2 linked regions of the Callithrix jacchus genome follow. The protein of the gene in region 1 purifies or fractionates together with the protein of each later gene. This does not show direct contact. Links are inferred from orthologs where the notes say so. Each region holds a gene or a part of one and is shown in the gene's direction. Other genes may lie near its edges.

What was found. Proteins that work in one complex are often made in the same cells at the same time.
Region 2: the proteins of AP3M1 (region 1) and RABL6 purify together in Homo sapiens (co-immunoprecipitation; 3 studies listed by BioGRID and IntAct, counting the BioPlex papers as one, with this or other methods). This does not show direct contact. The link is inferred for Callithrix jacchus from reciprocal best matches to the Homo sapiens genes AP3M1 and RABL6.

What each region holds. Positions count from the first base shown.
Region 1 is NC_133513.1:56,072,235-56,078,283, forward strand, and holds part of AP3M1 (AP-3 complex subunit mu-1), read left to right. Parts: intron 1-545; coding exon 546-821; intron 822-2,116; coding exon 2,117-2,288; intron 2,289-5,348; coding exon 5,349-5,486; intron 5,487-6,049. UniProt on the Homo sapiens protein: Part of the AP-3 complex, an adaptor-related complex which is not clathrin-associated. The complex is associated with the Golgi region as well as more peripheral structures.
Region 2 is NC_133502.1:185,266,503-185,272,551, forward strand, and holds part of RABL6 (rab-like protein 6), read left to right. Parts: intron 1-466; exon of another isoform or gene 467-1,166; intron 1,167-1,683; coding exon 1,684-1,824; intron 1,825-2,173; coding exon 2,174-2,282; intron 2,283-3,278; coding exon 3,279-3,347; intron 3,348-5,280; coding exon 5,281-5,384; intron 5,385-6,049. UniProt on the Homo sapiens protein: May enhance cellular proliferation. May reduce growth inhibitory activity of CDKN2A.

The sequences.
Region 1 (6,049 bases):
GACCTCCCCGCTGGGCTAATGCGATTCTCCCATTTCACCTTCCTGAGTACCTAGGGCTACAGGTGAGGGCCACCATGCTTGGCTAATTTTTGTATTTTTTATAAAAATGGTGTTTTGCCCTGTTGCCCAGGCTGGTTTCAAATTCCTGAGCTCAGGCAATCCACCTACCTCAGCCTCCCAAAGTGCTGGGATTCCAGGCATGTGCCACCATGCCTGGCTGAGAAAGTTTCTTTCTGTTCTTAGTAGCTTTTTTTTTTTTTTTTCATAAAGTTATGTTGGATTTTGTCAAATGCAATTTCTGCACCTTTTGAAATGATTGTTTTAGTTCTTTATCTAATTGTGTATTATGTTGATTAATTTTGTATGTTGAACCAACCTTGCATTCTTGGAATAAATCCCACTTGGTCAAAGTATAATCTTTTTGTGTATGTTAAGTGATATTGGTCTGTAGTTTCTTATATTATCTTTGTCTGGCTTTGGTGTCAGGGCAATACAGGGATATGTTTTAATATGTAATAAATTTAAACCTTTCTTGTCCCCAACAGAAAATGATCCACAGTCTATTTCTCATCAACTGTTCCGGTGACATATTTCTAGAGAAGCACTGGAAGAGCGTTGTGAGCCAGTCTGTCTGTGATTATTTCTTTGAAGCTCAGGAGAAAGCTGCTGATGTTGAAAATGTACCACCTGTCATTTCAACACCTCACCACTACCTCATCAGTATCTACCGGGATAAGCTCTTCTTTGTATCTGTCATACAGACTGAAGTGCCACCTCTGTTTGTAATTGAGTTCCTACATCGAGTTGCTGACACTTTCCAGGTTGGTTATCTATCACACCTTTCTAACTTAAATTACCCAAGTTAGTTGGAGGTGAGACATGATTATATTATTTAATTACCCAGGTTTTGGTGTTTACTGTCTCTCTGTAACTAAGCATAAATTTATAAACCCATTTCTATGTGGTAGACAATGGCACACATGGCTGCTCTATTAATGATTTTTTTATGTATTTCAAATTACAGTTGACTCTCCATATATGTGGGTTCTGCATCCATGAATTCACCCAACTTTACATGGAAAATATTTAAACAAAAAAAATGGAACTGAACATGTACAGACTTTTCCTCATTATTACTTAAACAATACAGTATAACAACTAGTTACATAGCATTTACATTGTATTAGATATTACAAGTAATCTAGAGGTGATTTAAAGCATATAGGAGGATGTGTATAAGTTGTGTATAAATAGTATGCCATTTTATGTCAGGGACTTGAGAATTGTGAGTTTTGGTATCCACAGGGGATCCTAGAACTAATTCCCCACACATACCAAGGAATGACTGTATATGATCAGGAAACAATAAAGCCCTCCACATAGAGTTTTCTGAATGGTCTCAAGATTTTCATTGGTAATGAATTCTTCTATATTTACATTTTATTATTTTCTCTTGTCTTGCTGAATATACCAAATAATTTAAGCATTTCCATATGTATTTTGGGATAATCAAGATGAAGTTTATAGCTCACATTCCAGTTTAATGTTTCAATATTTTCTGGTATAAAATGAATTGAATTAAATTCAATCTAAAAATACTAAGAAAATATTGAGGAATAATGTTAGGACTATAGAGAGATTTTTTTTGGTTTGCTTGTTTTGTTTTGTTTTTGAGACAGAGTCTCACTCTGTCATCCAGGCTAGATCTCTCTGCCCAGTGGAGATGATCTTAGCAGCTCATTGCAACCTCCACCTCTTGGGTTCAAGCAATCCTTCCACCTCAGCCTCCTGAGTAACTGGGATTACAGGCATGTGTCACTATGCTCAGTAGATTTTTGTATTTTTAGTAGAGACGGGGTTTCGTGGTGTTGGCCAGGCTGGTCTCAAACTTCTGACCTCAAGTAATCTACCTGCCTCAGCCTCCCAAAGTGCTGAAATTGCAGGCATGAGCCACAGTGCCTGACCTATAGAGGGTTTCCCCCACTCTGTTTTACATATGTTCAGCATCTTAAGCGATGAATTTTGCTACTGTAAGTTTATTCTTCAGAACAAAAAGTATTTAGAAAGCCTTTCTTTGTGCCTTCCCTTGTGTGATATTTTGTGTGTATTTTGTAAGGACTACTTTGGTGAGTGTTCAGAGGCTGCAATTAAGGATAATGTGGTCATAGTATATGAACTCTTGGAAGAAATGTTAGACAATGGATTTCCACTGGCTACCGAATCCAACATTTTGAAAGAATTGATTAAACCACCAACAATTTTACGCTCGGTGGTCAACTCTATTACAGGTAAGATGAAAACATACTTGACTAGTAACTGAGCTATTAAAACTTTGTAAACAACTCATTGTTGCTCATGATCTGACATATTATTAAAGTAGTCCAGTTCGGCCAGAATTAAAGTTACTGGTAAAGTTAAAATGGATGTACTATATATTTATATTCATGGAAAGAGGCTTAAGTGATAAAAGAACTTTTGGTTATTACTCTTTTTTGTTTTGTTTTGTTTTTTCTTAAAAAACCACAACAATATTATTAGTATCATTTAACACTAAATACTAAGACTGAATAAATTATTCCACTTAGTCTTAAAGAAGCCAGTATATGAGCCCACTTAGAAGAGCATTTAGTCCATTTATAGACTGGCATTTCAGTATTTAAAATAGCATTACATAACTGTTATGCTGCTACTCCACAATTACTAGAGAACAGAAGATTTAAGATTCTTACCTACACAGTATGTGTGTACAGTGTCCTTCAAGTCTTTGTTTTTATGCATGCAGAAGATGTATTAAGAAAAAATAGGAAAATAGTTTACTTATGAGATATCATGCATTGTGGGCCTGTACTTGTGTTGTAAGCTTCCAGTTGCATTTAATTCTTAAGGGTAGCTAGAAGTTAGGCACATCCAGATGCCAATATTCTTTCGAAAGCATTAAAGTCTTTTAGAGAAAGATTCCTATGAAATGTTATATGCCACTCCAACTCCACTGCCCACCATTGAAAACCCGTCTCCAGTGCCTTGACCTAAAACTGATGTGAGAGAGGCCTATAAGAAAAAGATCATTCAGCAGCTCTTTAATCATCCTCTGTATAAGGGGGAGTGTTAGGACAAACTGAAAGAAAGGTAAGGTAGAGTGTCTGTGCTCCTTAAACTTATACTCTAAATGGGATTTGGAAAAAAATTAAAATTAGCAAATAACTATAAAATTTTAAAAAGCAATTACATACTTCACAGATAATATAGTAACATTGGAAAATACACATGATATAATGTTAAATTGAAGTCAGCACAAACTGAAAAAAATTATTTTTAGTTATATTCACTAAAAACATTCCAAATATTTATTTTATTTATTTATTTTTTTTGAGACGGAGTTTTCACTCTTGTTACCCAGGCTGGAGTGCAATGGCGCAATCTCAGCTCACCACAACCTCCACCTCCTGGGTTCAGGCAATGCTTCTGCCTCAGCCTCCTGAGTAGCTGGGATTACAGGCACGTGCCACCATGCCCAGCTAATTTTTTGTATTTTTAGTAGAGACGGGGTTTCACCATGTTGACCAGGATGGTCTCCATCTCTTGACCTCGGGATCCACCCGCCTCAGCCTCCCAAAGTGCTGGGATTACAAATGATTATGCCAGCCAAAAAAATACAGATTATCTTTATTTTTGCTTTATGATTTAATTTTCCAAAATAAACATGTATAGTCAGAGGAAAGTTACTAAAATATAGAATGCAAAACTTAACATAGATTCATAAGGCAGTATATTATGAAGTTCAAGAGAATGGTTCAGTTAATGAAGTAATCCCTCCTGAACTGTGGTGGGTAGCCACCTTAGAGAATCAGTAGAATTGAGGAAGTGGAGTAGGAATAAGAGCATTCTCCATAGACGTAACTGTATTTGAAAAAACACACATGAAGTGAAAAACCTCAAGTTTTATTAATCTCTTTAGCAGAAGCAGAGCTGTTTTTCAGTTGAGAAGTTAGAGATCAAACTAAAAGTTGAGAAACTCCTTCAATGCTAGGCTAAATATTTAGCTTTTATCATAAAGCCAATGAGCAAACATTGAAGGTTTTTGAGCAGGAAGACAACATCATTATAGGTTGCAGGTAGGAACACCAATCATAACTAGACTGCAAAATTGTAGATAAAGTATGATTGTGACTATATTTTAAAGTGCAATTAAAAACTAAAATTATCAAAATAGAAAAAAAATGCAACCTTCTGGTGGTGGAAATGTTTAAAGAAATATACCAAAATGTTAATGTTATATTGAAATATTAATACCGTAATATTAACCAAAATGGGGCCAGGCGCGGTGGCTCAAGCCTGTAATCCTAGCACTTTGGGAGGCCGAGGCGGGTGGATCACGAGGTCAAGAGATCGAGACCATCCTGGTCAACATGGTGAAACCCCATCTCTACTAAAAATACAAAAAATTAGCTGGGCATGGTGGCGCGTGCCTGTAATCCCAGCTACTCAGGAGGCTGAGGCAGGAGAATTGCCTGAACCCAGGAGGCGGAGGTTGCGGTGAGCCGAGATTGCGCCATTGCACTCCAGCCTGGGTAACAAGAGCAAAACTCCGTCTCGGGAAAAAAAAAAATATATTAACCAAAATGTTAATGGTAGTTGTATTTTGTTAGTAAGAAGACAGATGTTTTTCTTTAAACCATCTTTCTGAATTCCACCTTTTTGTTTTGTTAAGTATGTGGTACTTTTGAACTGGCAATATAAATTAACCAAAATGTTAAGTAAGTCACAGCTCAAAGATACATGTTTTGGACAACCAGACTTATTTTTAGACATGTGTCAGTTTACCAGGAAATTAGCCAGACACTGAACACTAGCTATATTGCAGCCATATGGGTATGCTGACCTTAAAATGGGAAAAGGCCAGATTCCATTTACTCCACTGAGGCCTGCTTGGCAGCATCTCGTGTAAAATAAAGTTGAATACTGAAGGGCCTAGTTATAACTCTGTATTCTCAGTGGAGACATTTTACTGGCAGAAGGTTTTGAAACAACCAGCCTCTTTTTTCATCAGTGGCAGAGATTCTGCTGTTGAGCCACTGAAATTAGATTAGGTTACTGTTAACACAGGAGGCAAAAGATAAGTAAATAAATTTAACCTGATTTGGCAGGTAGACAGAGGGCTACATGGCCTATTTTTCTCTTCTAGAAATTTGATCATGTTGGTATGGGTATATCTGACAATTCTAGAGACCATCCACAACTTTATTAAGAAAAATCCAAACACTGAAGAAGCAGCTTTTTCTTCCCCAGTAATGAATTTTCTGATGACTGTTTCACACATCAGCTTTGCTTTCTCCTTTTTTGGTTTCTAGGCAGTAGTAATGTTGGGGACACACTCCCCACTGGGCAGCTGTCCAACATTCCATGGCGCCGGGCAGGGGTAAAGTACACAAACAATGAAGCCTATTTTGATGTCGTTGAAGAAATAGATGCAATTATAGATAAATCAGGTAACTGTGTGCATGTGGTCTTATTTGGGGAAAAATAATTCAGTTGACACAGATGAATAGAAAATTAAAGTCCTGGCTGGCACAGTGGCTTACCCTGTAATCCTAGCACTTTGGGAGGCCGAAGCAGGCAAAACACGAGGTCAAGAATTTGAGACCAACCAGGCCAACATGGCGAACCCCTGTCTCTACTAAAGATACAAAAATAGCTGTGTGTGGTGGCATGTGCCTGTAATCCCAGCTATTCAGGAAGCTGAACCTAGGAGGCAGAGGTTGCAGTGAGCCGAGATCACACTGTTGCATTCCACCCTGACTCTATCTCAAAAAAAAACCAAAAAATCTAGTCCTTCCCTTACATTTATTTTGTACATAAGGAAACTAACGAAGCCAAGGCTCAGAAGGGTTAAGTGAACTGTTGCAGGTCACAACTTGTTAATATGTAATGATGACTTATTCTGAATTATAGTCAATATCTTCTCTTCCAGGAGTGCCCTTTTCATTATAACATTCCATCTTTATAGAATAATAGATTTTTGCCAGGCACAGTGGCTCACACCTATAATCCC
Region 2 (6,049 bases), on another chromosome or scaffold:
CACCGCTGCCACGGGAATGGCCTGGAGGGAGCTGCAGGCACCTGGGCTGCTGTGTGTGGAGTGGGCAGGAGGGGTCACAGGACTCCAGCCAGCCTAGGGAGACATGCCTTCACAGCCGTGAGAGGCAGGAGATGCCAGAGGACAGAGGGGGCCTGCTGAGGAGGCTGGAGGTGCCCCTGGGCCAGCCTTGGTGAGGGGACCAGTTTAAATGACTGTGAATAAAAGAAAATCAAGTTAGAAACACAGGACATTGCGTTTTTCACCCACTTGTGTTGGCTTCTGTCAGTTGTGGGGAAGTTTTGTCACTTGAAGCACTAGTAATTTCTTCACAAGCCATTTGGAAAACCATGCAGTTGAGACTGGCAGCTCACACCAGGCAGATTCTAGAGATTTGCCGTCCGTGCTGGGACATGTCTGCCAAAGACAAGGCTCTCAAACAGTCCGCTTAGACAACTCTATTCCGGGGTGCTGTTACAGCTTCAGGCAGAGCCTGGATATGGATGTCCTGCATCTAACACGGTGTAGCGCCTGAAGCCAAGCCAGCTCCGGAGGTGTCCGGAGGAATTTCAGTATTTGCTGTGTAACCTCGTCAGCTCACCAAGATGGCCGTGCAAGCGGCCAAGAGGGCGAACATTCAACTCCACCTGAAGTAAGTCGGATATTGTACATAAGAAATTTGCCGCACAGAATCACAGCTGAAGAAACGTTGAATGTATTTGGGAAATAAGGACCTATGCGTCAAATCAGAGTGGGGAGCACACCTGAAACCAGAGGAACAGTTTATATGGTCTGTGAGGACATCTTTGATGCCAGGAGTGCGTGTGATCGCCTCTGGGGATTCAGTGTTTGAGCAGATGCCTTGTGATTTTGTGCTATGATGCCAACAGGGCATTTCAGAAGATGGACGCAAAGGAGGAGGGACAGCTGAAGCTTCTCAAAGAGAAATATGGCATCAATGCAGATCCACCAAAATAAATGTTTTCTACCTTTTCATTTTGGACTAAAACCCATGATTGACAACTACCACCTTTTCCTTTCTTTCCTTTTTAATTATAGTAAATACTGTGATTTCTTGTTTGAGGTTCAAAATGATGTGCTTGAAACTTGGATACATATTAGAATACGTGATGTTAATAAACTTGTTGCTTTTTGTGGGGGGAAAAAAAGCCTGCTTGACTGGCCACAGCAGGGGCACCCCGGGCTGCTGTCCTCAGCCACCCTGGTGGGCAGGGACCCTGGAGGAGCAGCCACGGGGCTGGGCTGATGCCGAGGGGCACACGGGACAGGGCAGGATGAGGGTGGATGCAGGCGAAGCCTGAGGCGATTTTATAAGGATGCAGACATAGGGTGCTCCAGGTAAGGCAGGGGTGCTCCTTTGTGGGTGCAGTCAAGTGCGTGCCATCTGGGAGAGGATGGGCAGGGACAGTGTGGGGGTGCTCCTCTGTGGAGCGCTGTCCAGTGTATGTTCAAGGAGCAGAGATGGGCAGGGCTGTAGGCTGGGAGGGTGCAGAGGCACCCACAGCACTTCCTCTAGCTCTGCAGGCATGCAGCCTGCTCCTGCTGGTCAGGTGTTAGGAATGAAAAGCAGCTGCCATCTTGAGGCCTGCACGCACAGCAGCTTCCCAGGGAGGGACAGGGCGTCGAGGGGCTGAAACTAAGCCAGGTCCTCACCTGTTCTCCAAGGACCTTCAATTACATTCTCCGGGAGCTTCCAAAAGTGCCCACCCACGTGCCGGTGTGTGTGCTGGGGAACTACCGGGACATGGGCGAGCACCGAGTCATCCTACCAGACGACGTGCGTGACTTCATTGACAACCTGGACAGGTGAGCGTAGGGGAGGTGCTGAGGCAGAAGCCTTGGGAGGGGCTTGGGAGATGTTAGCGTTATCATGGGGGCTGGGGGACATGAAGAGTTGCGCTGCTGCGTGGGGCTCCCTGAAGCCTGGGTCTCCCAGACAGCAGTGCCTGGGAACTCTGCCAGGGTGAGGTGCTGGTACTGGGGTTCCCCTGCAGAATGGCACTCAGCTTAGCTGCTCAGGAGGCTCAGCAGGGTCCTGTGGCCTCAGGAGCCTCCAGGAGGAGGGAGGGCAGTGCAGACCAGCAGCTGTGGGCCCAGGGGTGGTCCTTGGCACGGGGGGCAAGGTTTCTCTTGCATGTGTCTTCCTTCCTGAAAGTAGACCTCCAGGTTCCTCCTACTTCCGCTACGCTGAGTCTTCCATGAAGAACAGCTTTGGCCTAAAGTACCTTCATAAGTTCTTCAACATCCCCTTCTTGCAGCTTCAGGTAAGCACTCACCATGCAGGCAGAGTGGGCACTGGTCTTGCCTCTTCCTGCTGTGTCTCCTATAGCAACAGGGCTCCCTCCTCACCCAAGAGATCGGTGGGCCTGCTTGGGTTAGCTGCTGGTCAGGGCCCAGCATCCTACTGTGCCTGCCTGCCCAGGTGGCAGACGGTGCAGGTCCTGAGGGCTGGGCCCCATCCCAGAAGCCCCTCCACCTCTGCAGGGACCCCTTGCTCAGTTTCCCTCTGTGGTTTTGGTCATTTTTGTGTGTTGAGATAAGGTTTTGCTGTGTGGCCCAGGCCGGCGTGCAGTGGTGCAGTCGTGGCTCACTGCAGCCTCAACTCCTGGGCACAAGCTATTCTCCCACCTCAGTCTCCCAAGGTGCTGAGCTCACCTTTCCTTGCTGCTCACAGCTCACATTTCCTCTTTAAATTTTGTTTTAATTAATTTGTTTTTTTTGAGATGGAGTCTTGCTCTGTTGCCAGGCTGGAGTGCAGTGGCGCAATCTCGGCTCGCTGCAACCTCCACTTCCTGGTTGCAAACAATTCTTCCACCTCAGCCTCCCAAGTAGCTGAGACCACAGGCCCGGCTAATTTTTGTATGTTTAGTAGAGACGGGGTTTCACTATGTTGGCCAGGATGATCTCGCTCTCTTGACCTTGTGATCCGCCCACCTCAGCCTCCCAAAGTGCTAGGATTATAGGATTGAGCCACCACGCCTGCCCCACAGCTCACATTTCCGTGGTGCTTGTGTCAAAACCAAGGGGCCAACTTTGGTCTATAGACTAAACTCCATTTCCCTCGTGGAAACAAGGGGCCAAGGCCAGCTCTGGCTGCAAAGTAGCCCAGCAAACGATGGGTCTGAGGACTTGGACCTTCTCACCCTGGCCTGCCCCAACTGGGTCTGGGGGACCTGGACCTCCTCGCCCTGGCCTGCCCTGACTGGGTATGGGGGACATGGGACCCAGCCGAAGCTGCAGCAGACTTGGTCTTTCTCCAGGACTTCATGATTGCCCAGGAAAGGGGCTGTGCTATCCTTCCGGTGTCAGAAGAAGTGGGGACACTGCAGGTTGGGAATGCTTCTGGGGACGTTTGGGTGGAAGGAAGGCCGGCAGTCAGGCTTACCCGGTGTCAGCACTGCAGAGCTGTCCCCTCGTCAGTGGGTGGTTACGCCTTAGAGAGCCTCTCACTGCTCAGCTGCTCCATTCCCTAAAGGGTTTGCCCTCCAAACACTTCCAAAGCCTCTGAGGGAGAGAACGAGACCCTGGACAGAGTCTTGAGCTGGAAGCGTAGGGCAAGCTGTGTGACTGTCCTTTTGCTGTGGATGTGTTCATACACATGTGACAGCCCCTCCGGTCTCAGCAGCGGGACCCCGTTTCCTCTGTCTTGCTCCTGAATGGCCTGGAAGCAAATTTCAAGTCTTATGTCACCTAAAAATATTTCAAACATCTCTAAAAACTGTTCTCTTTTTTTAACCTGACCATAGTGCCTAATTTAACACCTCACATTCAAGTCACAGAAGACTTTTCTTAGAGAAATAAAATTCCCAAAGAGTTCAGTATTCAGAGCAGGATCCAGAGTTCACACGTTAGTTACAGTTGGTTGACGAGTCTGTAGTTTTCTCTTTGTAAATCACATTTTTGTTATAGTAGCCATTTTTAGGGATCTTACTGACTTTAATATCTTTTTTTTGTTTGAGACAGAGTCTCGCTCTGTTGCCCAGGCTGGAGTGCAGTGGTGCGATCTCAGCTAACCGCAACCTCTGTCTCCCAGGCCCCAAGCGATTCTCCTGACTCAGCCTCCTGAGTAGCTGGGACCACAGGCGTGTGCCACCACACTTGGCTAATTTTTGTATTTTCAGTAGAGACAGGGTTTCTCCATGTTAGTCTAGTTTCAAACTCCTAACCTCGTGATCTGCCCGCCTCAGCCTCCCAAAGTGCTGAGGTTACAGGCATAACACCATGCCTGGCAAACTACAAAACATTTTTAAAAATTAGCCAGGCATGTCCGGGGGTGGTGGCTCACATCTGTAATCCCAGCACTTTGGGAGGCTGAGGCGGGCGGATCACCTGAGGGCAGGAGTTTGAGACCAGCCTGACCAATACGGTGAAACCCCAGTCTTTAAAAATAAAAAAAAATATTAGCCAGGCATGGTGACACATTCATGTGGTCCCAGCTACTCTGGAAGCTGAGGTAGGGAAGGGAACCCAGGAGGTTCAGGCTGTGGGGAGCCCACATCATGCCACTGCATTCCAGCCTGGGTGATGGCATGAGACCCTGTCTGAATAAAATAAAACCCACACCATCTCAAGTCTCTCTTAGCCTGCAGATGCACCTGCTTTTTCTGTCTAGTTGATTTGCTCTGTCGTATATGCTCCCTGGTGTCCAGCCAGCAGACCTTCCATGGCCACAAGAAGACACAGCCCTGTTCAGTCCCCAGGTGCCTCCTGCGTGGGACTCAGGTGCTTGAGATGTGGCTGTTGCAGGTGTTTATTTAATTTGAATCTAAAGTTAGCAGCAACGTGAACCCACAGCTCATCAGACCGGCCTGGGGTTCCAGGCCAGGTGGGCTGTGGTTTGCTGCACAGCCCAGCTGCTGGTGGGAGTGGGGGTGATGGCACGGACGCCGGGGCTAAGTCCTGCCCCCAGAGGAGATTTGCGAATCTGGGAGCAGAGAGGCTGTTTTCCAGGTGAAGGTGGGGCTTCTGCACCCTCGCAAGCACATGTATGGGTAAAGGTGCTTCTGTTGGGGTTTGTGCCTGTGGTTGGCATCTGTGCCCTGAGGTAGCATAGGTGTCATGCTGGCCACTGTGAAGGAGTCCTGCGGGCTTCTGTGGTTCCAGTGAGGCCCAGCTCAGAGCTCCATGAGGTGCTGAGCAGCCAGCCCTGCCCCATCTCCTGGTTTCAGCAGGTGGTGCCCCCGATGCCTTCGGCTGCTGTCGGGCTGGGGTGCTCACATCAGGAAGGGTCCCTGCTCAGGCCTATGTGCTTCTCTTCTGCAGAGGGAGACGCTGCTGCGGCAGCTGGAGACAAACCAGCTGGACATGGACGCCACACTAGAGGAGCTGTCGGTGCAGCAGGAGACGGAGGACCAGAATTACAGCATGTGCGTGGCTGGGCCCAACGGTGGGGGCAGTGTGAGGGCTGCAGGCATAGACATGGTGCCAGGCCTGGCCTGCTCCAGGACAGCAGAGGGGAGTGCCCTGTTTGGGGTAAATCAGTCATCTTGGGGCACAGGTGGAGGAGGGCTCAGGCTGGCACTGCCCCCAGGAGCCCCATCAGAGTCCCACCTGACATGGACTGTGTGTGCAAGTCATGCCATGTCTGCTGCTCTGAGTGCCACCGACTGGCCAGGCACTGGTGCTGGGGGCTGCCTGCTCCTTAGGAGCTCGGCTTCCCAGACTGACAACCAGCGTGGTGTGTGCTTTCTAAGGAGCTCCTTGTGCTGAAGAGGCATATGGGTCAGGACATACAGGCCTCTGGTCCTTGATAGGAGTGGGTGGCTCAGCATCCTCCTGAGTGGGCATGGGCAGCATAGGCAGCCCCAGGGTTGCCGGTGGTGGGAAGGCCGACCCATCCTCTGCCTCAGGCTCCTGCACAGCTAGGGACTTGGAGCCTCCCTGGGACCCAGCTAGGGACACTGAAACAGCCCCTCCTGAGTTCCCCAGCAGATCTTTATTTCCAGAGGGAGAACCCGTGGGTCACCTTGGATCTGGCTGTTGGACAGAGCAGATTGCTCTGGACACAGCAGCAGACTGAGAAGGCGATGTG